Notamacropus eugenii: one gene and its partners. The protein of the gene in region 4 binds, or shares a complex with, the protein of the main gene of each other region. Links are inferred from orthologs where the notes say so. Each region holds a gene or a part of one and is shown on either strand. Other genes may lie near its edges.

Region 1 (6,977 bases), about 150 Mb from region 4:
TGACATCAGGCAATGCACTGGAGAAGGGAATGGTCAACCACTCCAGGATCTTTGCCAAGAAAACCCCATGGACAGTACTAAGATAAAAGAGATGACATCTGGCCTCTTAGGTCAGAAAGTATCCAATACGATACTGGGCAAGAGCGGGCTGGTTTTCAAAGAAGCAAAGGAATTAGAGATCAATTGCAGCATTCACTGGATTATGGAGAAAGTAAGGGATTTCCAGAAAAATATCTTCTGCTTCATTGATTACACTAAAGCCTTTGTGTGGATCACAACAAAATGTGGGAAGTCCTCAAAGAGATGTAAGAACCAGATCATCTTACTTATCTCCTGAGGAACCTATATGTGGGCCAAGAAGCAAGGTAGAACTGAACATGGAACAACTGGTTGGTTTTAAGATTAGAAAAGGAGTTTGACAAGGATTTATATTGTCACTTTATTTATTTAACTTATATGCAGAATATGTCAAGTGAAATATTAGGCTGTATGAATCAAAAACCAGTATTAAGGTTGCCAGGAGAAATAGCAACAATCTCAGATATTCAGATTATACCAGCCTAATAGCAGAAAGTGAAGATGAATTAAGATACCTCTTGATAAGAGTGAAAGAGGAGAGTGTAAAAGCTGGCTTAAAGTTTAACACACACACACACACACACACACACACACACACACACACACACACAACACCCCAAATCCCTAAGATCTTGGCAACTGGTCCCATCAGTTTCTGGCAAATAGAGGGAGAAGAAATGGAATCAGTGTCAGATTTTATATTCTTGGGCTCAAAAATCATTGCAATCAGTGACTGCAACAATGGAATTAAAACATGCTTGCTCCTTGAAAGGAAAGCTATGGAAAATCTGGACAGTATACTAAAAAGCAGAGACATCACCTTGTTGACAGAGGCCTATTAGTCAAAGCCATGATATTTCCAGTAGTAACATATAGCTGTGAGAGCTGGACTATAAGGAAAGCTGAGCTCCGCAGAATTGATGTTTTCCAATCATGGTGCTGGAGAAGACTTTTGAGAGTCCCTGCAACAGCAAAGAGATCAAATCAATCAACATTTAAAGGTTATTCATTGGAAGGTCAAACACTGAAACTGAAATATTTTGGCCACATGATGAGACAATGGGACTCATGGAAAAAGACTCTGATATTGGGAAAGATTGAAGACAAAAAGAAAAGGGGAGGGCAGAGGATGAGATAGATAATGTCACTGAAGCAATGAATACAAACTTGGACACACTTCAAGAGACAGCGGAGGACAGAAGGGTCTGGTGTCCAAGGGGTTGCAAGAGTTGGAAACTACTGAACAACAAAAATGTTTATGGACTATTGACTCTACGGTCCCCCCCAGCTCTAAATCTATGCCTTGGATATCTGCTTTACTGATTGAACTCTACTGATTGAAGATGAGTTAAATAATAATTCCCTATGGGTCATTTACTTACTTGAATATCCTGATCCCTGGGCTATGTGAAAAACGGATCTGGGAAGTGCCGGGGACCATCTGAGGCTTGATGCTATGAGACTATAGCCTTTAAGGGCTGGGTGTTCTAACGGCCTTGACCTCTTTGTTTTCAGTACAGCAAAGAAATTTAAAAGAAAAAAAGTCATTTATTGCAATAAAGAAGCCTGCACTGAAAAAAATACCTCTAGTTTGTGGCTGACCTTATAAATATGCAACAGATCAAAAAAATATGGAAGATGTTAATGAAAATTTTGAGACAGTAACATTATTTCCTCAATACTCATAAAGCATATCATCACAGAACTTCTTACATTTTTACAATACGGCTAAGTTCACCTTCCTGATGTCATGGCCCTCTCCATGTCACTCCCCTTCCTGGTATCACCTCCTCCCTTTGGCCTTATATTATCAAAATGAAAACTTTTGTAAGGACTGCGAATTGTTTGCTCTTGCTTTGATTTTCATATGCATGTTCATTCTTCTTGTAATAAACCTAGTTTTCACATAAGTTTTGTGAAGGTATGATTTCCTGTTGATGTTAATAGAGGTAAACCCTCAGGTGTTGTATATCCTGAGAATTCTTGTGCCTACAAAGCAGTTCTATCCAGAGGGGAAACTAAGACCCAGAGACTTTTCTGAGGTCACAAAGACAGCAAACAGTAGAGCCAGAAATTGAATCCAGGTCCTCTGACTTTATATCTAGTGCTTGCACCCCTAAACCATGCTAAATTAAAGGACAATGAAAAGAACAAAAGAAGGTGGCGGCAGGTTTAAGAGGTTTAGGGACCACCCCCTCCCCCCTAAGGACTGAAGTGCAGGAAAGGGTTGTCTGTAATGAATTCTTGGACTCAAGCATTCTTTAAGTCAAGGTGACAAAGGTTTATTGTAATGCTTTGGGCAGAGTCCTTTAGGGAACCTGTATTCCCTAAGAAACTTGCAATTTAGCATGAATGATGCTAAAGTTTACATAGGAAAAGTAGTGGATTATCTGGCAGATATGCTAATTAGGTGATAATTTACAACCTTTATCATAGGCCAATTTACAACTTATAACTGTGGTCATCCACTACTGGAAACCAGGGGAAGGGGTTTCTCAGGAATGTATTTTTGGTCTGTTACTCTCTAGTAAGATAGCTTTGAGAATTGATGTGTGTAGTTTGACCTGTGGATTGAATATAATAACTTTGGGATTGATACATGATAATTCTGTGATTACAAGATAGTCCTGTTTTTACAAGAGAATTTCTTCAGAGGTCAACTTGTTCTTGTGATGGGGAAAGATTGTTTTACTGGAGTCCACTCATGAGTAATTGTGGGGGGAAATAGTTCGTCTTACTGCGACCCACTCATGAGTTCTTGCTAGGCATAGTGTCCTTGGGTTGGAGAGAAAACCGTGAGGGATAACGTTTTGAAGCTAGGGAGAAATGTGATCTTGGAATTGGGGTCCAAGCACAAGCACCCAAGCAGCCCATCAGCGGGAGATAGAAACAGGAAAGGAAATTTGTAACAGTGGGAAGGTCTAAGAGATGAAAGAAGACATTCCTCAAAATTCATTTCCTGCAGGGTCACCACTTTCTCTGTTTGCTCAGCACCCAAGGGGCTCCATTGGCGCTTAATTTCTTTGGGCTGGTTGAAAGATTTCCAGGTGTTGTGTAGAACCTGTCTCATGGGCTTCCTGATGGCCACATGGTTTTCTCTCCATGCAGACCTCCGCACTGGGCAGAAGCTCAGAGGGTTTGGATTGACACACAGTCACTCCGTAGGGTGGAGAACCTGAGCTGGGCACTTGTGGAAAGTTTCACCGAGCCTGGAAACAATGTATCCTTACTTTAGTTCCTTTAAGGCCAGACCATACAGCAAGTCTTCCCTGAACCTTCCGACCCTCCCCACCGACCTGGCGCTGGCATCTCACACAGCACTTTGTTTAGAACCTATCCCATGCCCTTACGTACAGTTAAAAACAATTGACTTTTATTTCTCGACCCTCTACCAGAGCCGTGAGCTCCAGGAGGGCAAGGGCGTTGTTTTGTCGGGCAATTCGGTGCGGTGGAAAGGGCCTTGCTCTAAATCTTTCCCCCGACGCTGACTTGCTATGTGACCTTGAACATCATTTCCCCTAGTCCGGGCCTCAGTTTCCCCCTGTGCCAACTGGGGTTTAATGAATGAATAAACAAGGAAGTGGACCCTTTCAGGTTTCAGCCTGGGATCTAAACTCAGCATTTAGCGCAGACGGCTGAATTTTCGTAAATGGTTGAGAAACCCAGGCGTCCTGCGGTGGGCTGATCCTCAAGGTGGGCCAGGACGATAAGACAGAAAAAGCGACTGGAGGAGGATTCGGCCACTGCCACCAGTAAATACGGTAATGCAGCCCAGCCGCTCCCCTGGAGGTGGTAGGGGCTGGGCTGGAGCTGACACGCGGCAAGAAGGGGCGGGGCCAGAGGGGATCCAGGGCGGGAAAAGGACAGGCGCCCGCGCGCTCGCGCCCCGGCTAGAGGAACGCGCACGCGGCACGCACAGGGGCTCGGGATGGCGGCGGCGGCGGCGGCCACGGCGGCGGGGTCGATCGGCCCGACGGCTGCGCCAGTGGCGGAGGAGGGCCCCAGTGGAGAGGCAGCGCCGGCGGCGGCCCCTCCTCCGCAGGCCCCGGCGGTGTCGGCCGCACCCCGCTTGTCGCGGTTGCCCCTGGCGCGGGTGAAGGCGCTGGTGAAGGCGGACCCAGACGTGACACTCGCGGGCCAGGAAGCCATCTTCATCCTGGCTCGCGCCGCGGTGCGCGCGGGCGGGACCTGGCGAGCTGGGGGTGGGGCCTGGCGAGCTAGGGGCGGGGCTGGGAGGGACTTAGTGGAAGTGGGTGGAGCTGGGGGCGGGGCCTAACCAGCTGCGTCGGGGAGATCCATGGACAAACTTGGTGCAAAACCTTTTAGGAAAACCTGGGTCTAAAAATCACATCAGACGCTTTTTAGCCGTGCCATCCTGGGTAAATCACTTAGATTTCTTTGAGCCTCAGTTTCCTCATCTGTAAAATGAGGAGGGCTCCTGCACTTCTAGAGCTGGAGAAGACCTCAGGAGCCATCTGCTCTAATCCTCTCATTTCGCAGGAGAGGAAACTGAGGCACAGGGAGGTGGAAAGACTTTCCCCAGATCGTGCAGGTGGGAAGCAGCAGAGCTGGGACTTGCACCTGGGTTCTCTGACTCCAGGACCAGTTCCTCCCCTATCCACTCTCAGTGACTTCTAATTCCCTGACTGTGGTCTGTGTTCCATGATAAGGGAGATGAATCTGATGGCAGTGTGAAGGAGGAGAGCTTAAGGGGAAAGACCTAGAGTAACAATCTAGGGTGGTGGTAACGGGGGCTGTGTAAGATTAAGTGCACAGGACTTGGTAGCTGATTGGATGCGGAAGGTGAGGGACAGGGAAGAATTAAAGATGGATAACACCAAGGTTTTGATAGGAACAGTGAAATTGGAAGGAGGAGCAGATTTTAGAGTTAAGATGTCATTCCAGTTTTGTGCATGTTGCTTTTGAGCAGCTGTCGGGACACTCAGGGGCAGATGTCCCTTGGGCAATTTACAGGTTTTAGATCTGAAAAAGATCTTATTTGTAGACACCAGAGGCTGGGAGAGAAATGAAGGGTAGAGATGATCAATTTGGGATTTTTCTATGATAGCTATACTGCTAAATTCTGTTTCTCGGTCATTTTCAGTTGTGTCTGACTCTGTGACCCCATTTAAGGTTTTCTTGGCAGAGATACTGGAGTGGTTTGCCATTTCCTTCTCCAAAATAAGTTGTTTTAGGTGCCACTTTTTAAGGAAGGACAATGACAAATTAGAGAATCCAAAGGAGGACACCTTGGATGCTGAGTGGTTTCAAGTTAATGTCCAGTGAAAATTATTTGAAGGAATTGGAGAGGTTTAGTCTAGAGAAGAGAAGGTGTACATGTGGGAGATGTGATAATTATCATAAAGTATTTGAATGACTGTCACATGGAAGAGGGATCAGGGGTTCTCTTTGGCCCCAGGGATCTAAACTAGGAGCAAAAGGTAGAAATTTCAACGATGCAAATTTAGACTTGAGGTGACGAATAACTTACCAGTTTTAGAGCTGTGCAAAGTGGAATGGACTACTTCAAGAAGTATTAGGCTCTGCCCCTTGGGAGCTCTCCCAGAGAGACTGGATGAGTACTTGTGGGGATATCTTACTCTGTATTTACTTTATATACTTAGTAGTATTCATGCTATAGTCTCTGGTAAGTTATAAGCTCCTTAAAGGAAGGGACTGTTAATTTTCTTAAGTCGGTATCTCTAGGGCCAAGAATAGTTCCTTGTTTCTCGCCCTTTACCACCACTCTCTTAAAAAAGTTTTTTTTGGCATTTCTGATTTCATTCATATAGGGAACTTCTGCTGAGGATATTTACTCTATCAGCAACTTTTCTACAATTAGTACTCTTCAAGTATGTTACTTCTGGCATTCAAAAGTTGTGACTTACCTAATCTCTGAAATTCTATAGGAGTAAATGAGATTGCCAAAAGAGAAAGCATATCAAGATGAAGGCTAAGCGCAAAACCTCATCAGGCACCCTCCTCTCTCCCTTTCCATACCTCAAAGAGCTGAGAAGAGATTGAGGAGCCAGGAAGGAGACAAAAGAGTGGCTAGAGAAGTAGGAAAACCAGGACAGTGGTGTTTCTGAAACTAAAGGAAGAGGAAAAGGGATTTATATAGGAAAGGTGTCAATCAGTGCTGTATCCTTCAGAGAGGTCAAGGACATTGATGGCCTTTGAGAGAGCAGTTTTAATAGAATACTGTGGTTGGAAGCCAGATTGCAGGAGGATCAAGTCTGACTTTGAAGGGATGAAAAGATAATGCAGTAGCTAGATGGGATAGAAGGGTCAAGGGAAAGCTTTCTAGGATTGGGGAGTATGTGTGGAAAGGGAGATATTGAAAATCCATGAGAGAGAAGGAATGATTTCGAGAATAAGGTCCTAGAGGCAGGAGGTTATGGGATCAAGTCCACTGGCTAGAAGACTAGCCTTAGTAAAAAAATAAATATATCTTCCTTTGAAAATGAAGGGGAGGAAGATAGAATGGGTGCTGATGCTCAGAAGCTTTGAGGAGTAATAGAGGGAATTTAAAGGCACTCCAATGTCATAGGGCACCTAGGTCGCACAACGGATGGAGTGATGGGACTGAAGTCAGGAAGACTCATCTTTGTGAATTCAAATCTGGCCTCAGACACTTACTAGCTATGTGACCCTGGACAAGTCGCCACACCCTGTTTGCCTTAGTTTCCTCATCTGTAAAATGAGCTGGGGAAGGAAATGGCAAACCAGTCCAGTATCTTTGCCAAGAAAACCCCAAATGGGGTCACGAAGAGTCAGACATGACTGAAACAATTGGACAACAACCCATTTGATAGCCTTAATCTTCTCAGTAAAGTAGAAAGCTGTTACCTGTTGTAAATGCTGAGGTTATGTGTATGATTGGGGGCTTGAGGAGAGAG
Region 2 (7,692 bases), on a different chromosome or scaffold from region 4:
TTGGTGATGGGGTGGGAGGGGGAGGAGGTGGAGGAAGGAGCAGTGGAGAAAGAACAAGAGGGGTGTGATTAAATGAGAGCCTCAGGTCTTTTTAGCTTTCTCTGAAGAGGCCACCTTTTTCTTCTCCTCGCTCTGGCTGCCTCTTTTAACTATCTACACAGTCCAGCTGCCTACCCCCTGAAGCAGCTTGGGGTCTTCCAAAACCTTTGGCTCTGTTTGTAACATCTTCTGCTCTGGCAAATACATTGCATGGAGGTTTTGAATGGATTACTACACAGTCTACCAACGGGTTTCTGTAAAGCTTTTAAATATGTATGAAAAGCCCACTGAAGTGAGTGTCACTGGCTAACTTTATTCCCAATTGACAAAAAAATGACTAATAAAAATACTTTAAATAATGTTGGTCTTAAGGCAGATTCTTCAAGAAATCGAAACCATAACATGAGAGAATTGGTTTAGCAGAGGAGGGGTCAGATCTACATTTTAGGAAGATTCTGTTGGCAGCTGTGTAAAGGATGGACTTGATAGGGGGAGAGATAGGAGACAGAAATCTCTTTAAATAATTTGTGATTGCCTCCTAATTCCCTGTCTTTTGAAATAGAGTAGTGACTGGGAACGGGGAGAAGATGAAGGATGCAAGAGATACCATGGAATATAAGGAGCTTGTTCGAGTAGGCAGACTCCCTGTTTTATCCAGACTATATCCTCCATAATGCTTTGGGGCCCAGAGAGTTATGCTGATTAGGAGAAGTTCCTGAACTTGAAGTACTAGGGGTCTGTCTTGAGTGTGGGAGATTTTGAGAAGAGCTGGGAGGTAGAAATAGAAAGTACAGAAAGATTAGGGTTTCATGAATATATCTAATTATTGCCAGCACTGGTGGCAAGGTTTAGTGCTAGGTTCCTTCTCCAGAAAGCTGCTCCTGAAGTTGCCAGGTCATGATGGTGTAGTCCATCCCTGGTAGAATTAATTAGCACTAGGATGCTTTGCTCCTCACTTGTGATGTCTGTCCAGAGAATTTCTTATGCTAGTCTCAAAGCTTTTCCAATTCTGAGATTTTCAGAGTACACTGAGAGCTGAAGAAAGGTTTCCCGTAATCTTCCATGATCCCACAATGGACAGGAAGAAGGTCTATTAGGGAATTGATACAACTTGAAAACTGCCTAGGTCTCTTTCTCATAGTGCAAGGAGGAAAATGGAAGGTAATGGGGACTGAATTCACAATAGAGAAATATGGAGGTAACTTGTACAAATCCGTGGGAGGAAAATACGTGAGAAATGTTCCTTACCTATTCTGTTATTTTGTTTCATTAAATATCTTTTGCTTTCTACTAATGTATCTTCTGGTTGACTTAATAGTGAGGGCTCATGAGCCCTCACTGAGTAAATGCTTCAGGTGCCTTGCACCTGGGGCAGCTTTCAGAAGGCTCAAAATTGACAGGCAGCTAGGTGGTACACTGGGCCTGGACTCAGGAAACATCTGATTTGCAATCTGGACACAACCACTTACTAATGGCGTGACTCTGGACAAGTCACTTAACCCTATTCGCCTCAGTTCCTCATCTGTAAAATGGGGACAATACCGTAGAAGAAAATGGCAAACAACTCCAACATCTTTGCCAAGGAAAATTCCATAGACAAGTCCATGTGGTCACAAAGAGTTGGACATGACTAAACAACAACTCGGTCTACAGATGTAGAATTGACAGGACTTGGCAAGTACCTAGTTATGTCCTCCCTCTTCTTTAAGATCATATTCAATACTTTTTTTTCTTCTGTAAGCCAGGCAGTCAGCGGCATAGCTCATAGAACACAGGAATAGGAATTAGGAAGACTTGTGTTTGAATTCTGTCCCAGACTCTTACTAGCTGTGTGACTCTGGACAAGCCACATATACCTCTCAGACTCAGACACCTCATCTGTAAAATAAGGATAATAATAGCGTTTATCCCTTAGGGTTGTTGTGGGAATCAAAAGAGATAAATACAAAACCTTAAAGCAATATGTATGTGCTGTTATTACCTTATATTGCTTTGTGTGAGGTTTCTTTTTTTTTTTTTTTTGGTTAATGTTCAATTTTATAATTTGATTCTGGCTTTCCCACTGTACTGCAAAGTTATCAAGAGGAGGAATTATGTAATCCACTTCTTCTGAATCTCTGCACAGGGTGCACTATTTGTGGCTAGGTAAATTTTGGATTAAGTAGACTAGATCTTTTGATTCTCTTTGGTCTACAGGGGATTTTACTTTAATAGATGAAAAAAATCAAGCAGAGACTGAATGATAACTTCTTGGCTGGGGATCCCTTTCAGCCTTACGGATTGTTCTCAAAAATGACCACAGACTCTTCAATAAACATGTCAATTTTTTAAGTTCCCCATTGTCACATTTTCTGCCTTCAAGGACCACCCTTTCATGATATTGTTATTCTTTCCATTAACAATGTAACCTAATGGAAAAAATGGTAGACTTAGTCGGTCAGAGACCCGGTACAATGTTGCAAAGAACTTTGCAAAAAGTAAAGCATTTTTATGTGTGGGTTATTATTATGTATCTATCAATGGCAACTTGTATAAGTATTTGTCCTGAGGACGTTTGTTAGTCTATCTGTAAGGCTCCTTTGGTGTAGCAGAAAGTCCTGGGTTTGGAGTGTTGGCTTAAGTCTTCTAAACTCTGTAATCTTTCATGGGCAAGTAGTCTAAGTCTCAATTTAAAAAAAAAATCTATAAAGAGGGAATAATAACACTTGCACTAATAAATATTTGTTTAATTTGTTATGAGAAAAATTCTTTGTAAACCTTAAAGGGCCATGTAACGGGTGTCATCGAGAGACATAGCAGTTACAGATGTGGGCTTTTAAATTAACTGCTAGTCACTCTGTATCAGCTCAGACTAAGAAGGTATCAATTGATAGGAATAGGATAGGGGAAATTTGTCTGCACCAGGTGTTACCTTCTCTGTCAGCACGTTCAGTGGAGAATATTCCAGTCTTGGTTTTTCTGCTCTCTCCTTTTGCCAGCCAGTCAACAAACATTTACTACACACCCACCATTTACCAGGCACGGTGGGAAGGACTAGGGATACAAAGAAAGACAAAAGACAGATCCTGCTGTCAAGGTCTAATGGGGGTAACAACATGCAAACAGCCATGTACAAACAAGCTAAACACAGGACAAATTGAAATAATCAACAGGAGAGACACCAGAATTATGGGAGATTGGGAAAGGCTTCCTTCAACAGGTAGGATTTTAGTTGAGATTTTAAGGATGCCAGGAGATAGAGATGAGGAAAGATTCTAGGTATGGAGGACAACCAAAATGCAGAGATAAATGTCTTGAGTGAATTCGAGGAGGTCAGTTTTACTGGATCAAGGAGTACAGTGAAGGGTGAGGAGCACAAAATGTAAGAAGACTGGAAAGCTAGAGAAGGACCTGGTTATGAAGGATTTCAAATGCCTAAGTATTTTATATATTTGATCCTGGAGGTGATAGAGAGCTAGTAGACTTTACTGAAAGTTTGGAGGGGGTGAAGCAGGGGTGGTCACATGGTCAGACTTTAGATAGGTCACTTTGACAGTGGAGAATGGACTTGAATGGGGACACTGATGGTAAGGAGACCAATCTGCAGGTTAGTGTATAAATAGTCCATGCATAAGGTGATAAAGGCCTATAGCAGGATGTGTGAGAGATGTTTGCAAGGGTAAAATGAACAGATCTTACAAACAAAATTGCAACAGTAACAGGAAACTTAGGAAGAAGGAACGTTTTTTTGGAGGGGGGATAATTAGTTCAATTTTGGACACGTGGAGTTTAAGATGTCCACTTGACATCCAGTTACAAACGTCCAGTAGGCAGTTAGAAATGAGATAGTACAGGTAAGCAAAGGCAAGTGGATTCGAGAATCCTCAGCATAGATATGATAATTGAATTCACAGAAGCTGAGAAGCTCACTAAGTGAAACAGTATAAGGAACAGGGCCCAGGACAGAGTCCAGTGGGACATCCCAGGCCAGTAGACTCTGACCTAAGTGAAAAGCCATAATGAAGGAGAGAAGGATAGACCAGATTATGTGGGAGAATCCTGTGAGAGTAGAGCCATGATAACTCAGAGAGGACTGAATCAAGAACAGTGTGACTGACCACGTCAAAGGCTCCAGAGAAGTCAAAAAAAAAATGAGGATTGACAAAAAGCCATTAGATTTGGCAATTAAGAGATCATCAGTAACTTTGGGGAAAGCGGTTTCACTTAAATGTTGAGGTCCAAAATTGTAGAGGGTAACAGGAAGTGAAGGAACCGCTTGTAGACTGTAATTCTTAAGTTTAGCCACTTTTAAAAGGGAGGAGAGACGATCGAGAGGTTTTTTGATGACTTGGGTAAATCATTTTTCTTTGGGCCCCAGTTTCTCCTCCTTCCGAACACTAAATATTATGAAATTCTTACAAAACAAATGCTCTTAAGATAATACAAAAATGGGTCTGGGACTTTGCCTGGATGCTTGGTTTTGTTCTTTTCTGAATTAACATTTGGCTGGCTTCTAAAGTCCTTTTCCAAGGCAGAAGTGGTAGTCTGATGTGTTCGGTCACTGAAGATGGCACACCTGCAGCTGCTACATACAGCTGGGGGAAATCAGATGAGGATGACTAAGACGACGACAGACCCTACGTCAGGCCTCTCAGACGTGCAGATGTCTGACGTCCGGAGCTGATTATTAGACGTAAATTTGGACCCCGACTACCCGCACCAAGAGAAGCGTGGACTCGGGTATCAAACCACCCACGCGGATCCTACCGTCTCCTGCCTTCACCGTAGCCACGAGAGCAACGGCGCGCGGAGCTTCATGGGATATGCGGTCACCTCCCTCGAGCCCGCCCTTTGCTGGGGCCAGGGGCCCCGTCTCTAGAGAACTACGCTTCCCATAAGGCAACAGGCCCGCAAGACTCCCTGTCAATGAACTTTATTTGTCAAACTGATATCTCGGAAGGGGCGGAGGCCGCGGCGGCCGCGGCAGCGGCAGCGGCGGCAGCAGCAGGAGTAGTGGCGGCCGCGCGATTTCTACCACTGCTGCCAGGGCGGGGGCAGCAAGATGGCGGACGGGTTTGGCGGCAAAGAGAAATGTGGCGACCAGAGGCTGGTCTCGCTACCCTTGTCTCGCATTCGGGTGATCATGAAGAGCTCCCCGGAGGTGTCCAGCATCAATCAGGAGGCGCTGGTGCTCACGGCCAAGGCCACGGTGAGTCAGGGGAGAGAAGAGAGGAAGCGAGGGGGGAGGGGGAAAGGAGGCGGTGTCTAGACTGCCCCCCCAACGGCCGCATCTCGCGCGCCGCCCCCTGGGAGCCACGGCGGCAGCTCCGCGCGCACGCGCTGCCTGACGGCGCGAGCGCGAGCACGAGCGCCTATCCCGTGCCTCTGACCCGCTGTCATTGGAAGGGATGCTCTTTAAAAAAAAAAATTTTTTTTTTTAAAAAAAAGGACGTCCAATGAGACTCGGAGAGGGCGGAGCCTTGGCAGAGAACCATCCCGCGTGGCGGTCCCCGGAGTTTTCAGTCTTTTGTTGACTCTGTGTGGGTGCAGAGCTGTGAATCCCAGGGGATCCCAGCTGGTGTTGCAGTAGAGCAGCGTGGAGCCCCCCTAAAGACGCTACCCTGGGGAGGGTGTGTGGCAAACGCAGGGGAAACGAGGCTGCCAAGCCGAGGAGAAGTTCTGCGTTCAAAATATTTCCCAGCGTGTCTGGTGGAAACCATTTGATACAAAGTTGCGAGGGCGGGTTCTCCTTGCACTGCTTCCACCCAACTGAATTACCGCAGGAGGGATTTAGTACAGAGGAAGATCACCTTAAGCACAAAGGTGTTGGGTAGAAATTGACATAGGTCGGTAAGGGAAATTTGCAGAGGGTAATGGGGTTTTAAGGTAAACGCTTTCCAAAAATTCAGCCTGCCTTCATCCATCCTGGAGTTATTTTTTGTTTGTTTTCAGTTTTCTTTTGGGGCGGGGCGGGGGGGGAGTGACCTTTACCTGCTGAGATCTCAGGTTTAAAGTTTTGCTCTTTCTCAGCCCTGGTTGGAAGTGCCCTTGACTCTCCTGGCCAAATGCAATGTGATCCACTGCAGCTGTGTCATGTCTCCTTATAAGTTCTATTCCGAGGCTCTCATCAGGACGCAATGAATCTAGAGAACAAATCTGAATTGTAAAATTAAGAGAAAGAATGCCCTTTTCGGTGATTTTGAACAGAGACGGTCTTTATGGCTGGAATAAAAAAGCAGTGACACTCTAGTGGACATAGTGAGGTGATTAGCATTTATATAAAATTTTAAGAGTTGCAAGCTCTTAACAAATATTACCTAATTTTGTCCTCACAACAACCCTGAGAGGTAGGTGGTGTTGTTATTCGTGTTTTACACATTGAGGAAACTGAGGCAAGTAGAAGTGACTTACCGAGAGTCACACAGCTATAAGCTATATTTGTAATCCACACTCTCACTGGCAATCCTATCCTTATGTTTACCCTGAAGAGCTGTACCCCCAATTTAACTTAAAAATACTATTATCCTCTGCAACTGCCTTTATTAACGTATCAAGGTCTGACAATTTGTAGGTTTAAGATGATGCTCCAATGTCCACATCCCTGCTGCTGTAATTACATTTTCTGGGTATACAAGGAGAAAGAATTGTAGGAATTTTGTGTGCAGTGATTGCTAAACATTTTGGCTAAACCTGATAGTTTTAATCTTCCTTAAAATGTATCTCACCTTTAATGATCCCTTTTTCTCCTCTGAACTCTTTCCTTTTAGTGGTTTTCAAAACTAAACGCTAAATACTTGACTAGTGTTGAATAATGTAGGTTTCACAGTGCTTTATGCTTCTTGACATAGTATCTTTTTTTTTTTTTCCTAAACTAAAGTCTGTCTCCCAGTTGATTCTTAGCCTACTTGTGGTATTCTTGGTTGGAGCTTGTCATTGCTAATGGGTTCTTGTTTCATTTTGTCCTATTACTGTCATTTCTTAAGATAGTTATACAGTTTATTCACTTTATTCTTTAAGGCCTTACCAACCAGGCTTGGGTTAGACTTTTTCCAGCTTCTTTGTTGATATGACCTCAATCCAGCAGCAGCTGCAAAACAGGAGAGCTTTGGAGGTCCTTACTTTTATTAGGCTACTAGCTTTTAAAGCCAAAACCTCCTTAATTACCTCCTTGATTGAGAAAGTATGGGCTAGACAAGCCAAACTTTGGGGGAATGCAGCACAGTTCAGGCTGGTGCTTTGCATCAGTTTAAGAGATATTTTTGTCTATCCTCAGCATGGAGGAGTTGAGCTGGGAGCGAGAAGTCTGGCCAGCTTTACGACTCCCAACTCATTGGCTTCATTATCTGGTTTGCAGTGGTGTGAATTACCAGAACTTCAGATATGCCCATATTCAAATGGAAGGTAAAAAAAATTGCATCTCTAGAGGCAAATGTGATTTTTTTTTTTTGGATAATTGACATTACTTTTCTCTTCCATTACTTTAGGTAATTTATCATTGACTGAATTTCTGATTCATTGCCCTATATTTAGTCAATCATTGATAATAATTGCTAAAAGTACTAAATCTAAAATAAATTTTTGTAGAAAGACCATTTGCTACCCTTCTCTCAACATCAAACTGATAAGTACAATGTTATGTCCTTGTGCCTCCTGTAGTGATCTTAAAGCTTATAA
Region 3 (7,415 bases), on a different chromosome or scaffold from region 4:
TTTCATCCTGGAGGCATAGAGAGCTATGGAGGCTTTTTGAACAATAAGGGTATTGTGGTTGCTTCTTTTTCTATGAACAGACCTGTGATGTCTGTGATGGAGAAAACCCTCTCAGGAAAGCCCTGCAAGCAATGTGGATCAGCACCTGTTTCCCAACAGGTTTTGGAGAGCTGCCTGGACCACTGAGAGATTAAATGACTTATTTGCCCAGGATCATATACCTCCAGTACATATCAGAAGTGAACCCTGGTCTTCCCCACTCTTTGGCCACACTACCAGTCTACCCACTACACCAGGCTGCTGAGCAAGTCAGATGTGTTCTGTAGAAATGTCAGAGACAAGGAGGCCAAGGTTGGGAGTCTATCACAACAGTCCAGAAGGGAGCTGATGAGGACCTAAACAAGACTGGTTGTAGGGTCAGTGGAGGACGGTGACAGATGCAAGATATATTTTGGAGACAAAAGTGAGGAGACAAGAGCTGGTCTGGCTACTGTACTGAAGTGAATGCCACTTGAGTGCTAGAGCTTAAACCAGAAAAGTGATTTGGAAATTAGAGCCTTGTCTGGTAGGTGCAAAGAGAAGGCAGCTAGCATGGGCATGCTTTGCAAAAAAAGCTGCCACTAGAGGAAAAGTAGCCCAAACAGAAAGACCCTAGCCTGGTGCTGAATAGCTGAGAGAAAACGGGAATGAAGAGGGGAGGGGGCTTGAGGGCCAAGGGGAAGCCTGCAGTCACGCGGCTGTGCCTTCGCCCGGTCCCCTGGTATTTCAACTTCCCCTACTTCCAAAATCAAAGAGGAGCCAAAGAGGGAGGGCAGGAGATGGGAAAAGAAGCTTTCAGGTCCCTCCCCCGGAGCCCTCAATCTGCCTTAGCCAAGGGTCCCCTGCAGCTACAAGACTAATTTACAACAACCCCCAAACAAATCCAGAAACCACCAGCGTGCCGCAGTCCACAAGCCTGACCCCTCCAGCTGCAGCTTCTCAGGGAGTCGGGGACGGTGGGGGCGGGGGAGGTGGCATTCCAGGGAGGTGGGCAGGGGGGCGGGGGCAGAAGGCGGAGCTTTGCTCTGACGCTCCGCCTACGACAGAAGGGGTTTCCTGGTCACTGGGAGGTAACCAGAGAAACAGCGGCGCGTGCCCCAACTTAATTGGAATGTTATAGAGAAAGGTTTCCCAATCTCTCCCTACAGCACTCTCTTCCCACCCCTCTACCCCACCCCTTTCCCCCCACCTCCCCTCCCCCAACCTCGGCCCCACCCCCTACCCCCCTTCCTGCCTAGCCCCTCTCCCCACCAAACAGGTGCAGATCAGTACCCTCCGGCTCGGGTCACAGATCCAGGCCCCACGCCCCCGGCCCCTTCCCCTGCGCCTGGTCCTCTTTCTCATCACGGCACCCGTTTCTCCAGCTCCATCCCCTAGATCCTACACTCCTGACCCCTTTTCCGATTTCTCTGACCCTCTCTCCTCTCCAATCTCGCTTTACCTAGGTCCCTCTCCGATTCCCTCTTCCACCCTTCCTCCCCTGATCCCCTTCCCCCAAGCCCCTCCTCCATGCCTGTTCCCCCGATCCCCTTCTCCATCCCCGCTCCCGTGGTCCCTCCCTCCATCCCCATCCTCCGGATCTCTCTCTCCTGATCCTCCCCTCCATCCCAATTCTTCCGAGCCCGCTTTGCCGTCACCTTCCCCCATCCTAACTCTCCCCATCTCCTTTTCTCAGACCTCTCCTTCCTCCCCCATACTTCTGTCCCCTCTTCCACCTCCCCTTTGCCAGTCTCCCTCTCTGCCTCTCTTCTCTCGAGCCCTCTCCTCCAGCCCCCCTCTTCTTCCTCCAAACTCGGATACTTTTTCTGCAGTCTCCCCCGTCACCTCGGATTCCACTTGCACCTCCACACCTGTTTCTTCCCTATTCACCCAGTCCCCTCTCCCATGCTCACTGCCCCATTCCCTCTATCCCCTTTTCCATCACCATTACCGGGATCCCTCACCCGCAGTCCCCTCCTCTCTCCCCCGACCACCCCACTCCTCCGTCTTTCTCTCCCACTACACCCTCCCGTCTCAGCTCCTTCGATCATTCTCTCCCTCCTCCCCGCTCCATCCCAATTCCCCTATCCCGTTCCCATGGGTCGCTTCTCCCTCCCAGCATTCGCAGTCGGCTCCCTCATCCCCGCTCCCCCTCTCAATTCCCTCAGCCCCACCTCCCCTCCTCTCCCTCTCTTCTGACTCCCCAGCTCCTCCCTCCCAATCTCCTCTCCCAGTCCGATTCTCCTTCCCAGACATCTTCATCCAACACCAAGATCCCAGTCCTCTCCCCGACTCCACTCCCTCTTCCCCGCTCCCGCACTCCCTTTCGGCTTCCCCTTTCGCGGGTGCCTTTCCCCCGTGCCCGCTCGCTCGATCTCCACCATTCCCGCTGGTGCAATCCCCGCCCGCATCCCCGCTCTCCAGCTCCAGTCCCCCGTCCTCGCTCTCCTGCTTCCTTTCCCCACCCTCGCTCTCCCCTAGCTCCTCCAACCTATACCCCCACTCCAGTACCTTTCCCACGCTCCCACGCACCTCCCTCATTCCATTCCTCTATCCTTATTCCTCCATCCTTCTTCCCTGTTCCCCTCCTTCATCCCCAATCTCTCAGTTCCCTCCTCCATCATCCCTAATCTCCCAGTCCCTCTCCCCAGATCCCCTGACCTCTTCGCACTGATGTCCAGTCCCAGCCGTTTCTTTTAACAGACTTCTATTCTCCTTCTCCGATCTGTCTCCCCTGTTCTTTCTCTAGATCCTTCTCTCCAGACTGACTCCCATCCCTTTACCTTGCATCACTGTCTGCAGAACCCTTTTCCCATCCCTTTCCTTGATTCCCCTCTTCCCAGCCCCCCTTCCCTAATTTGTTCTCTCTTAGTCCACTCCCCATCCTCCCCCAAATAACTGCCCTTTGTTGATACCCTTTCTGACCCTTCTCCTCAGATTTCTTCTCTCATTCTCCTTCCAAAATCTCTCACCCCTCATCCTTCCTCTTAGGTCTTCCCCGATCCTTGTTCTCATCACTTTCCTCTGATCCCTTTCCCTAGGTCGTTCTCTGATCTGTTCTCCATATCACTTTCCCCTGATCTCTTTCCCACAGATCACTCTCCTGATCTTTTCACCCAGATCACTCTTCTCTGATCCTTTCCCCTAGATCACTGTCCCCTGATCTTCTCCCCAGATCACTCTCTCCTGATCTTTTCACCTAGATCACTCTCCTCCGATCCCTGTTCCTAGATCGCTTTCCCCTGATCTTTTCCACAGATCACTCTTTCCTGATCTTTTTTCCAGATCATTGTCTCCTGATCTTTCCCCAGATCGTTCTTTCCTGATCTTTTCACCAGATCGCTCTCCTCTGATCCCTTTTCCTAGATCGCTCTCCCCTGATCTTTTCTCCGGATCACTCTTCTCTGATCCCTTTTCCTAGATCATTCTTCCCCTGATCTTTTCTCCAGATCACTCCTCTCAGAACCTTTTCCCTGGATCACTCTGGATTTTGTTTTCTCCTCTGATCCTTTTTCCTTGAATTCTCTCCTCTGACTCTTTCCCCTAGAACCCTTTCCCTAGATTTCGCTCCCTGAATCCTTTCTTCCAATGGCTCTTCCCAAATCAAATCCCTTTCCCCTCCGCCCCCCGCGTGTGGTTCTTTCCAGATCCCTTTCCTCTGATCTTCCACCCTAAATAGCTCTTCCCAGATCTATTTCACCTGATTCCCCCTCCCTCATGGAGCTCCCCAGATTCTTCTCGTCTGATCCCTTTCCTCTGATTCCCCCCCGCCCCCAATAGCTCTTCCCAGATCTCTTTCCCCAGATCTCCCCCCCACCCAGGCTCTCCCCAAATCCCTGTCCCTAGATCCTTATCTCCCGATCGCGCCCCGGCCGGACCTAGTGGCAGCCTTGGTGAGCACCGGGTAGAGACGCAGCAACAGCAGATACTGCTCCAGCACCCGCTGGGGGAGCGGCCTGGCCCGGGCCCCGGCCCCAGGCCCGGCCCGCAACGTGGACACCACCGGAGCCATCAGCCATCGGCTGAAAGCCAGCACAGTTCCGAGTCTGGGCGCGACCTCGGCTCTAGGGCAAAGGGAGGGGACGGCCCTACATTTCTAGCCCTGGGGCGCCGCGCGGCGCGGCGCTGGGGGGCACCTAGTGCAGCCAGGCGCACGAAGCCCGGAGTTTTTCCCGGCTCCCTAAGCCTTTCCCTCCTCTCCCGGGCGGGCCGCGTAACCATTGGAGGACCACGGGGCGTGGCGGTTCCTGCTCCTGATTGGGTGCTCTTCCAGAGAGGCGGGGGTGGGTGGAGCTGAGCTGCGCTCTCGCGAGATTTGGGGCCGGAACGCGCGAAATTTCTCCCGGGAACGGAGGACGCCCCTGAGGAGAGCGGCGGAGTGAGAGTGGCGGCGGCTGGCCCGAGATGGTGTCCCGGGAGCGCGGGTGGAAGCGCGCCGAGCCCGGGGAGGAGGCCGAGAACAGTCGGTGAGACCTGCGACCCCGCCGGCCCCGAGGCCTCAGAGCCGCCTCTGTCCCGCCTCCCCTCCCCCAAGGCTTCCTTGAGCGCCCCCATCTCCTCCGCAGGGTCCCTCCCAGGGCCCTGAGGGCCGCTCTCCACCCCAGCCTTGCCGGCCTCAGCTCCCCCTGGGCCGTCGGTGCACCCCCAAATGCTGAGACCCCAGAGCCACCCCGCGCCGAGCCCCTGGAATCCGCCGTGCCCAGCGGCCGTGCCCAGCGGCCGTGCCCGCTGGTGCCCGCGCTGACCACCCACGGCCTTCTGCGCTCCCATCCCTTCCCCGGAGGCCGCGCTGCCTCCGGTTACTTCCCTGTCCCCCCATACCCCCGTGTGCGGCCTTTCCTCCGTGCCTTCACTTGCTTCTTTACCTTCGATACCTGCGTGCCCATCATTCTCAGATCTGCTCTCCAGCATTTTTAGACAGTATTTTCCCTCTTCCATACCGACCTTCCCGTTGTCGCGTCCACCTGCTTGCCGGACCTTTCCAGCTGGGGGTCCGACCGAACACTGAACTCATCATAGTCATCATTCCGGCTCCTCCTGCTTCAGTTCTCCTAAATCCTCTTCTTTCTGGCTTTCAGCCTCACCCCTTGAAGTTACCCGTGATCTTTTCATGTCTTTCCTGATCCCTTTCTACCTACCTGTTTCATCTGACTGTTGAATATTGGGAAAAATCGTGAAGCCGATGCTGACAGGGTCCACTACAAATTTATGTTACCTAATTTCAACCAGGCCGGCCTTGCTGCCAAGTAACCCTTTTACACCTCCCGAATTAACTCACCACAGAGGTTCTTCCAACCCTTTTCCTGATTTCCTTTCCCCCTCCCTTCTTAGCTGAAAACAGACTCATAGTTTACTGGTAAAAAAAAATGGAAACCCTTTCCCCAAGAGTTCCCTCTTTTCCTTTCCTCCTCATCTTATATCACCCAAATGCCTTTCTCCACTGTCTCCTTGTGTGAGAAAAAGATGGTCATTCTTGCCAAGCCACACCCTTCTGTTTCACAAGTGATCCTAGTCCACCTTTCTACTGAAAATTTTCCCCTCTAATTATCCTCACTCTCCTTGCCTGTTGGTTGCTTTCTAACTGCCTACAAACTTGCCCCTGACTCCTCATTGCAAGATCTTCGTAATCTTCCTCTGAACTATCTCTTGCTTCTGTCCTTTCCAGTCCTGCTACTGGTGCAGTCCAGTCCTTCTTCTGGACTCTCCACAGTTGGTATCAGCCTACAACTCAGAATCACGGGAATTCAAACTGAATCTATAGGACAGTAGCTTGTCACACCAGTACTGTCTTCACAGTAGTAGTGGTAATGTTGATTTGATTATCAGTCCTTAAGCAGGAGGAGAACAGGGACAAGCTATTGCTAGAGAACAAATGGCAAGGTCCTGGTCCTTTTCTAGTGGTCGGGGTGGGAGATGGTAGAGTTGTGGGATAATTGATGACAAAGGGGAGAGGGGTGTTTGAGGTAGTCCTTCCCCTCTCCCAGTCCTCATTTAGATCAATTCACCTGATAACCTTACCTAACCTTTTCCTTTCTCCTCTCCATGCCTTGGCTATAGGCTTAACTTTGAGGTCACCTTTTTCAGGAAGCTTTTCCTGAATTCTTCTCTGCACATCCCTCCCACTCAAAAAGTAATGTTTTATTTAAATAATCAGCTGCAGAAATTTAGGCAAGACTACAGAGCAATTGAAATGGAAACTCAAGGTGTCTAAGACAGGACAGGACCGGACTATTGTCTTCCAACTGTCCTCCAAGCCAGCCCTCTTCAAACTTCTCTTTTATTGTTGAGACCACCACCGTTGCCCCAATCATCAAGTTTCACACCTTCCACATTGACCTGGACTCCTTACTCTTACTCATCATTAATCAGTTGCTTTCTCCGCAAAATCTCTCTATTCACAGCCTAGACTACCCCAGTGCAGACTGCCATCATTTTTTGCCTTAGCTGTTGCAATAGCTTATAAATTGATCACCCTGCTTAAGTCTCTCCATTCTAGTCCATCTTCCACTCAGCTTCCAAGGTGGTTGTCTGATTTTCGTTTCAACTCCGTACTCAGTAAATTCCCCTATTACCTACAGGATCAAATATAAACTTCTTTGTTTGATGTTTAAAGCTCCCTCCATCTTTCTGGCCTTACTTATAATTACTTCCCTCTGCACTTTTTACACATGACACACCATCTCCTGTCTCCATGCTTTTGCACTGTCAGTTTCCTCTGCCTGGAGTGCTTTATCTCTTCACCTTTGCCTCTTGAAATTCTTTCAGGACTTGGCTTAAGGACCTCCTCTTGCTTAAGCTGTTCTCTTAGCTTGTGCCTTCCCCTCCAAGGTTATCTTGTCTCTCTCTGCTAAATATGTGTTTTGCATATTCCCATATATGTTTTTGGCATGTTAGAATGTAAATTTGATGGAAGCGACTGTTTTTCTTTTGTCTTTGTATTTTAGCCCATTGTCCACCATATAATTGCTGTTTAATGTGTATTTGCTTGCTTGATTCAAACAGGGCTGGATGACTATCTGTTAAGGATTTTATAGAAGGGATTCCTATTGTTGGATAAGTTGAACCTGGATGGTCTCAGGTCCTCTCGAACTATGAGACTTTTTGTTCTTTACCTCTCAGATTTCTCATAGCATTTTGTCTGAAGCTGTCTGTTGCACTGATCTTGCTTTACCTTATGTTGTTAACTTGTTTATGTGTCTTAGTTACCATAGTATATTATAAACTCTTAGAGGATCACGTCTTTTTCTTATGCTTAATAAATGTTTGTTGTTTTGAGGCTGTTGTTACCTTTTTCTTGGGCTTTTACTGTAGACTCTTAGTTACCTGTCATCAGTCTCTTCCCTAATCCGTCCAAGTTGTCCTACCTAATGCCTCCCATCTTCCTAAGGCACAGTTCT
Region 4 (7,595 bases):
TATCAGCTTCCTTCCATGAAGACCAATTATACTGCCCATCCTCCCCAGGACTTATCCCCAAGAGCAGGGGTTGAGACAACTCTAGACCTATGCAGACAATCAGGGAAGCAAATGCAATGTGCTATGTTCTCTTTGCAACCTGTCCACCACTCCTGGGATCTGAAACCCTATGTGGTATGTGGTATGTGCATATGTGTGTGTTATAGTATCCCATTGGATACTATAAACTAAACTAAGGAAGCTGCAAATCTCCTCCTTTTGTTTGACTAGAGAGTTAGAGAGGTATTTCCATTTCATTGCTCCCAAATCATCAAGTCCTCTCTCAGCCCAGGGCAACTGCCCTGGGCCCTGTTTAGCAATAATTTAATAACTTTACATATATATGCATATACATGTGTATATGCATATATATTTCTTCTTATCAACGATCTCCCCAAGTTATCTGTATACCTCAGGGGTCAGGGCTCTCTTTGGTCATGAAACAAGATACTACCCAATAATATTGTTGTTCAGTCATGTCCAACTCTTCATGACCCCATTTGGAGTTTTCCTGGCAAAGATACTGGAGTGATTTGCCATTTCTTTCTCCGGCTCATTTTACAGATGAGGAAACTGATGTAAACAGGGTTAAGTGACTTGCCCAGGGTCACGCAGCTAATTAAGTGTCCAAATTTGAACTCAGGAAAATGAGTTTTCCTGACTTCAGTTCCAGCACTCTATGCACTATGGCGCCACCTAACGGCCCACACAAGAATATAGGGTGTTAACCAGAGGCAACACATTTTATTCTGTGCTATGCAGTTCAGCTGGAGAGACATACTATACATGCTACATCTGTGGATTATTTTTCTTTGTGACTTACTTTGGCAGGTTTTCTAGACTTCTGGGGAAAACCCTGACCATGGAAACCTCTCAGAGATTTGAGTCCTAATAAATGTGGTTCTTCCAAACTGAAACAGACATAAAAGTTATTAGAGAAAGCGAGAGGAAAATAAAGGCTAGTGCAGGGAAGATCTTGGAGGAACAACCTTCCTCATGCTTATAGCAGTAACACTTCTACATAATACCTCAGTATTTTATAGTTTCCCTTTTTAATAATCTCTGCTTCCTAATCCAGTAGCAAAGAAATGTAGCGTGACCAACAGACAGGTGTGGATGTGGAACCTTTCCTACATATAGGGCACAGAAGTATAAGATGCAGTCCCTATCCTCAAGAGACTTATTCTAGCTGGGATAGGAAATGTACGTGATAAATCAAAGGCAGAATGTGTTAGCTATATAGTGAGTAGTTGTTCAGTTATTTTAAGTCATATACAACTTCATGACCTCATTTGGGGTTTTCTTGGCAGAGATATTGGAGTGGTTTGCCATTTTCTTCTCTAGTTCATGATACAGATGAGGAAACTGAGGCAAACTGCATTAAATGACTTACTTAAGGGTTATAGGGCTAGTGTCTGAGGCCAGATTTGAGCTCAAGAAGATACATCTTCCTGACTCCAGGCCCTCTATGCACCATTCCACCTAGCTGCTACAGGAGTTCTGAGGAAATGGCAAGACAGTCACTCATAAAAGAAAACAATCTGGTTAGATTTCATGGAGACTAGAGAACTGGGTCTAGAAAGTCAGTTCAGGAAGATGGAGAGAACGTCAAACTGGACTCAGGAGATCTGGATTCAGGTCACAGCTCACTTACTGGATTTGTAACCATGGGCAAAGTACTTCCCTTTTCTCAGCCTCAGGTGCCCTCATATATAAAATGGGAATATTTAAAATACCTCCCTCATAGGTTTGACCTAAAGAAAGGGCTTTGTAAGTCTCAAAGCAATAAATACAATTTGCAGTTATAGCTGTTAAAAGGATAGCATACAAATAAGCTGAGAGGCCTAGGAGGACACACGCCAAGTAGTATAAACAATATAATTGAAGGCACTGAGGTGAAAATCAGAATTGCGTGATCAGAGAACAATGGGTACACTAGCTGAGCTAAAGAGTAAGGTTCAGGTAGGAAAACAGTAGAAGATAAAGTGGAAATGGAGTGAAGAGCCTGGAATGACAAACTCAAGTTTTGGCTTTATTCTGTAAGTGCTAAGAAGCCTGTGAAAAATTTTAGTTGGAGGCAAGACATGCTAATTAGTGTTTTAAGAAAATCAATCTAGTCTACGTGTACAAAATGGACTGAAAAAAGGCAGAGACCAATTAAAAAGTTATTCCCACAGTCCAGGCATGAGTTGGTGCCCTGTGGGTCTGAACTAATACAGCTGCCATAGAAATGGAAAGCAAGGGATAGATAAGACATACATTAATACAGCTGAATTGACAAGATTGACTTGATATAGCAGTTCCCTGTCAACTCTGCACTATAGCTTTAGTCCAAGAGAAAAGTGTGAATGCATGCCAACCACATGTCCACCTTCACACAGTGGGAGAAGCAGCATTCCATTCTTTTCTCCAAAGCTCAAATCTTAGAGAACCTGAAAGCCATCTTATCCTTTCCTTAATTTTACCCTATCTCCTAGAGCCCACCAGGCACCACTGAGCAGGAAAAACTAATCACTATGAAGTATATCAAAAGGCCCAACACCCATACTTTGACTCCAAGAAAATTCACTTTCAAGTGTTTATTGTGCACCTAGTTAACTATGTGCCAGTTACAATGTTACATCCAAGAAAGCAAAAACCACCTCTCTGTCTCCCAGAGCTTACAATATAGTTTCAAGCATGAAGTAATTAATCCAAATAATTAACATCTTGAAAATTCTTAACCTATTTGAAGCAATTGTCCAGATACACTTCAGTTTAGCATTTCTATTGGAACCCAAAAAAGGGAAATATTTCTTTCTCTTGCCTCGATATCAACTCACCACTTCATTTTGTTAGTGAGAAATAGTTCTTCCCATGGTAGGCTCACTGTTTCTTAACCTGGCATGGCAAATTCTGGGGCATGGCTCTAAAAAATAACCACCTGGGATCCTGAGACACATGGTTTCTGGTGTTTTCATGATGAGTCACCTGCTTTGTAAATCCGAATCAAATTTAGAGTCTCCAGTCAAAGAACAAGGATGCTTGAAAAACGGGGCTGAATCAGCGATTCTCTTGGCCAAAATGGAAGAATCAGGTAAAGATAAATCTATTATCTTTAGAGTTGGCAGTTCATCTAGAAATGCAGACCATATTAAAAACTAGTCAGAAAGGAAGCCAAATATACCACATATATGGGTCTTTGGACAAATATGAAAGGGTATTGTCAGTTCACCTTCACTTTTCTTAGGAGCTCTGGAAATTGGTTGAAGAATTCGAGGATGACCCCTCTGAAGCCTTCGGACTGTTGCCCAACATTGTGGATGCTGGCAAACAAGTTGTGGACAGGTAGTCTCATCCCATTGACTGACATCTGGCAATTCGATATTTATCACAGATTTACAGCAGAAACCAACCTCAAGATCATTAGCCATCTACGGAAACAAGAATTAAATAAGCTAGGGAATATGACACAGTATCATTAGTTATATCTGCATGGCAACGTGTAGCCCACATCTTAATTTGATTGTGAATATCTATGTCGCCTCAAAAAAAGATGCGTTAGAATGGAGACCAAAGGAGCAGATGATCCAAAAATCATTAGTGAAATTAAAAAGTGTCTACTCCCTACCGCAAACAGCCACCAAACTGATACAATACTGATACAGCGGCAGATAAACAAGGGGTAGTGAAAATAACACTGGATGTGGAGTCAGGCGACCTGGGTTTGAAGATGGAGTTCACTATTTATTAATTCTGTGACCTTGGACAAGCAATTTCCACTCTTTCCACTTCAGTTTTCTCATATACAAAATGAAGGGGTCAAAGAGTGATCTATAAATTCCCTTCCAATTCCAAATCCTAATAAGTCATTATCTTGCATTTATACGACATGTTCTATTTTTCAACACTTTCACATATGTCATTTCATTTTTCCTCACCACACAAGCTTGTTAATATACTATCCATAATGGTGTGTGCTACTAATAATTGTGTATTACTTAAAATATCTAAAAAAAAGTAAAAAAAAGTCTCCAGTGGAAATTTTTCTACAGTTAAAGGAAGCAGAAGCCTAGTCCTGAGATTCTTCTAAGAAAGGAGAAAATCAGGGAGTCAGACAAGCTTAAAGACGAAAAGATTCCGGAACCTTGGGAAGATCAGACCAAAGGAGGAGGGGAGCAGCAAGGGCAGAGAGTGAACAAACAGAAAGCCGGCTTAAGAGTCCACACCGCCTGGACTCCAACCCTGCCTCCGACACGGAGGCTGCAGGACTCTGGGTAACTAAGAGGATAAACTGCAGAGAAATCACAGCTCTGCCCCGGGAGAGGACGGTCCTCACCGAGAGCTCCCTGCACCAAGCAAATGCCAGGCAAGGTCTCAAAAAGGCAACGCAAGCCAGGAGGCAGGCTGCAGTAAGATGGAGAAGTGCGGGGCGTGCGGGACATGGGATGCTCGGGGAGGGGGGGGGGGGGGGTCAGGGCAGGCTTCAGAGGACGGCACAGCGGAGGCGGGGTGGGACAGGGCTGGGGAGGAAAGAGACCCAGGACGGTGCGGATCAGGCGGGGCACAGGGAGGAACAGAACGGCGGAGAGGGAGGTCGGGGCAGGCACAAGGCAGAGACCGGGAGTCAGGATGAAGCAGCACCCCGGTCAGCGAGCACCGCCAAGGGCGAAGGCTGGAGGGGAGGCGCGGAGGACGCCCCACGAGGAGGGAGGCGGAAGCGCAGCTCGCAGGGGATCCCTGCCCTCGGAGAGCCGCAGAGGAACGGCAGCACGGACCAAGCCACCCCGCCCGACTGAGACCTAGGCTAAGCCAGCCTCCTCTACGTCGGAGCGACCCTGACAGGATTAAAAGAGTCTCTAGGCAACCGCGCGCTGCACCCTGGGGGACCGCCGGGAAGGGCGGGGCTCTCCGGTTTCCAGACCCGGCCAGGCGGGCCTTGGATTGGCCGAAACTCATCGGGGGAAGTCTCCAGGCGTGAACGCACGAGGCCGGCGCCTCTCCGGGAGGGCGTGGAACGCGCTGGGGCTGGGAGGCGGGCGTACGAACGGAAGCCCAGGCGGGACACGCGCTCCGGGGCGGGAAGTACGGACGCCGGAGAGGCGACCTGGGTGAGCGACGCGGCCGGCGGAGGTCCGGGCCGCAACTGCCGCCTTGTCTCGGAGGCCGGCGGCGGCGGCGTGGTTGCGGCTGTCCCGGGGCAGACGAGAGGCGCGGTGGCCATGGCGGAACGTCCGGAGGACCTGAACCTTCCCAACGCCGTCATCACCAGGATCATCAAGGAGGCGGTGAGCGGGGCCGAGGCCGGGGCGGGGGCCGGGCCGGGGCGGGGGCCGGGGCCACCCCACTAACTCGGGGGCCGTCTCCCCTTGCAGCTCCCCGACGGCGTCAACATCTCCAAAGAGGCCCGGAGTGCCATCTCTCGGGCTGCCAGCGTGTTCGTGCTGTACGCCACGTCCTGGTGAGAGCCTCGGGCCGCGGCAGATCCCCGGCGGGGCTGCTTGCCCTTCCTGACCCGGGGCTGTCGGGCCCCCCTTCCCGGGTGTCCTCCACGTACCTCCCCTAAATCCCCAGCCCTCGTCCAAGAAGCTTCTCCGTCCTTCCCCTAGTTACCCCCATCAGGTTATTTTTTTGTATATATGTGTCCGCATTTAGTATTTCCACCGTAGAAATGTAAGCTCTTTGAGGGCAGGGACGGTTTTCTGTTGGATTTTGTATCCCCAAAAGCTTCTTGGCTTATACCTGGAGAGAAAGTCAGAAATCAGGAAGACCTGGGTTCAGGTCCTGCCTCTGACCCATAACTTAGCAGTGGGACTCTCGACAAGTCATTTAATCTCTCCTAGTGCCCTAAGCAGCTCTCTAAAATAAAGTTTCAGAGAAGGGGTGGACTTGCTTTCTAGAGAAAGTTTTCCTCCACTGAGAGTACCGTATACCAATGAACTCATAATAGGTCCAGTGACAGCCTCTCTCTTAGCACCTAGCTCAGTCTTACACATTTAAGACACTTAGGAAATGTGTTGACTTGAACTTGAACTTAAGTACAGCTTCATTCTGAAGTTGATCTCACAGAAACTTGGTGATGAAAAGATTTGCTGAAGGTCCCACAACCAATTAACAGAATTAGGACTCTCCTTACTCTTAGTCCAGCGCTAGTACTCCTTCCATTATGCTATGTTGCCTCCCTCAGGAAATGAGCTTAGCCACCCCCAGTCCTCTGTAGGAGCAAAGTATCCCTATCAGTGTTTACTGTATTGAAAATTTGAATGTAGTGTTATGAAAATAAGGTTGACTTCATGGACCCTCTGAATTGATTTTAGGAGAGAGCCACTAGTCTGATCTCAAAGGTCAGCTTCTCTTTAGGCTTCAGTTTCTATGTCTTTATTAGTAAAATAAGGAGGTGAAAAGATGGTCAGTAATAATAAGAGCAAATATTTATGATGTGCTCCCTGCTACATCATCTTTGAAGTAGGTAGCCCTTCAAGCTTCACATGGTTTAAGAGGGCTGCATCTGGTATTTTTCACACTTCTCTTTCTTTACCAGACTAGAGTAATTGGGATTTGTAATTACAGGTTAAAGTTTGAGACTACAGGTAGTCTCCCTAGATGTGGGCTTGGTCAGGCAATCAGATTTGCTTACATGTACCTGTTAATTGTCTTTAAATGTCTTGAAGTAAGACATGGCCAAGATAATTCATCTCTCTTTTTTTTTCTAAGTGCAAACAACTTTGCAATGAAAGGAAAACGAAAGACCCTAAATGCTGGTGATGTGCTATCAGCAATGGAAGAGATGGAATTTCAGCGATTCATTTCCCCTTTGAAAGAAGCACTAGATGGTAACAACTGGTGTATTTTATTGGGCGGGTAGACATAGCTCCTTGTAAAGTGATGGTCATGTAATTTAACCAGATGAACTTAAATACAGTATTGTATATATATAGATGTGTCTTCATTTGAACCTGTCTCCAAGCCCTTAGCCTTGCCTTATAGCTTTCTTCTATTTCTAGCATATAGACGTGAACAGAAAGGTAAGAAGGAAGCTTCAGAGCAAAAAAAGAAGGATAAAGACAAAAGAACGGATTCTGAGGAGCAAGACAAGAGCAGGGAAGATGATAATGATGAGGATGATGAAAGAATGGAAGAAGAGGAGCAGAATGATGAAGAAGAGGTTGACAATTGAGCTTCATGGAGAGAATGTGGAGTCAGATGATAAGAAACTTGGGGTTCAGCACTGTTGCCTCCATTGTACTGTTTGACAGAGAATTCTGTGGCCTTTTCCTCCACTGCTAAGAATGCCTCCATATGAGGACCTAGGAATACTTCTTGAATAATCCCCAAACCAGAGTTTTTCTGAATGAGATCTTTCCAATTTCATTTTCATAGTTTATAAACTGACCTTTTGACAAGGTAGGTTATGAACTGCCATTTAATCAAATTTTTGTGGGAAAAAATGTAGAAGATTCATATATTTCACTTCCTGTTTTATGACCCACATTTCATACTAGCTATTATTTAGAGGGTGTAGAGGCAGCTGAAAATTGGAGATGTTTGAACTCTGAGCATGAGTTAGCCTATGACTG

What was found.
Region 1: POLE3 (region 4) and POLE4 share a complex: the UniProt entries of both Homo sapiens proteins name them as parts of the DNA polymerase epsilon complex. The link is inferred for Notamacropus eugenii from reciprocal best matches to the Homo sapiens genes POLE3 and POLE4.
Region 2: POLE3 (region 4) and CHRAC1 share a complex: the UniProt entries of both Homo sapiens proteins name them as parts of the CHRAC ISWI chromatin remodeling complex. The link is inferred for Notamacropus eugenii from reciprocal best matches to the Homo sapiens genes POLE3 and CHRAC1.
Region 3: POLE3 (region 4) and POLE share a complex: the UniProt entries of both Homo sapiens proteins name them as parts of the DNA polymerase epsilon complex. The link is inferred for Notamacropus eugenii from reciprocal best matches to the Homo sapiens genes POLE3 and POLE.

Annotation. Positions count from the first base shown.
Region 1 is NC_092872.1:630,210,060-630,217,036, reverse strand, and holds the start of POLE4 (DNA polymerase epsilon subunit 4), read left to right. Parts: upstream 1-3,959; 5' UTR 3,960-4,006; coding exon 4,007-4,249; intron 4,250-6,977. UniProt on the Homo sapiens protein: Accessory component of the DNA polymerase epsilon complex. Participates in DNA repair and in chromosomal DNA replication.
Region 2 is NC_092875.1:95,898,252-95,905,943, reverse strand, and holds the start of CHRAC1 (chromatin accessibility complex protein 1), read left to right. Parts: upstream 1-4,671; 5' UTR 4,672-5,080; coding exon 5,081-5,227; intron 5,228-7,692. UniProt on the Homo sapiens protein: Forms a complex with DNA polymerase epsilon subunit POLE3 and binds naked DNA, which is then incorporated into chromatin, aided by the nucleosome remodeling activity of ISWI/SNF2H and ACF1.
Region 3 is NC_092875.1:50,692,888-50,700,302, forward strand, and holds the start of POLE (DNA polymerase epsilon catalytic subunit A), read left to right. Parts: upstream 1-4,400; 5' UTR 4,401-4,422; coding exon 4,423-4,484; intron 4,485-7,415. Other genes in the region: PXMP2 (peroxisomal membrane protein 2), read right to left, coding at 3,897-4,030. UniProt on the Homo sapiens protein: Catalytic component of the DNA polymerase epsilon complex. Participates in chromosomal DNA replication.
Region 4 is NC_092872.1:478,313,228-478,320,822, forward strand, and holds the start of POLE3 (DNA polymerase epsilon subunit 3), read left to right. Parts: upstream 1-4,579; 5' UTR 4,580-4,622; coding exon of another isoform or gene 4,623-4,665; 5' UTR 4,666-4,666; coding exon of another isoform or gene 4,667-4,977; 5' UTR 4,978-5,240; coding exon 5,241-5,306; intron 5,307-5,393; coding exon 5,394-5,479; intron 5,480-6,732; coding exon 6,733-6,851; intron 6,852-7,022; coding exon 7,023-7,195; 3' UTR 7,196-7,595. UniProt on the Homo sapiens protein: Accessory component of the DNA polymerase epsilon complex. Participates in DNA repair and in chromosomal DNA replication.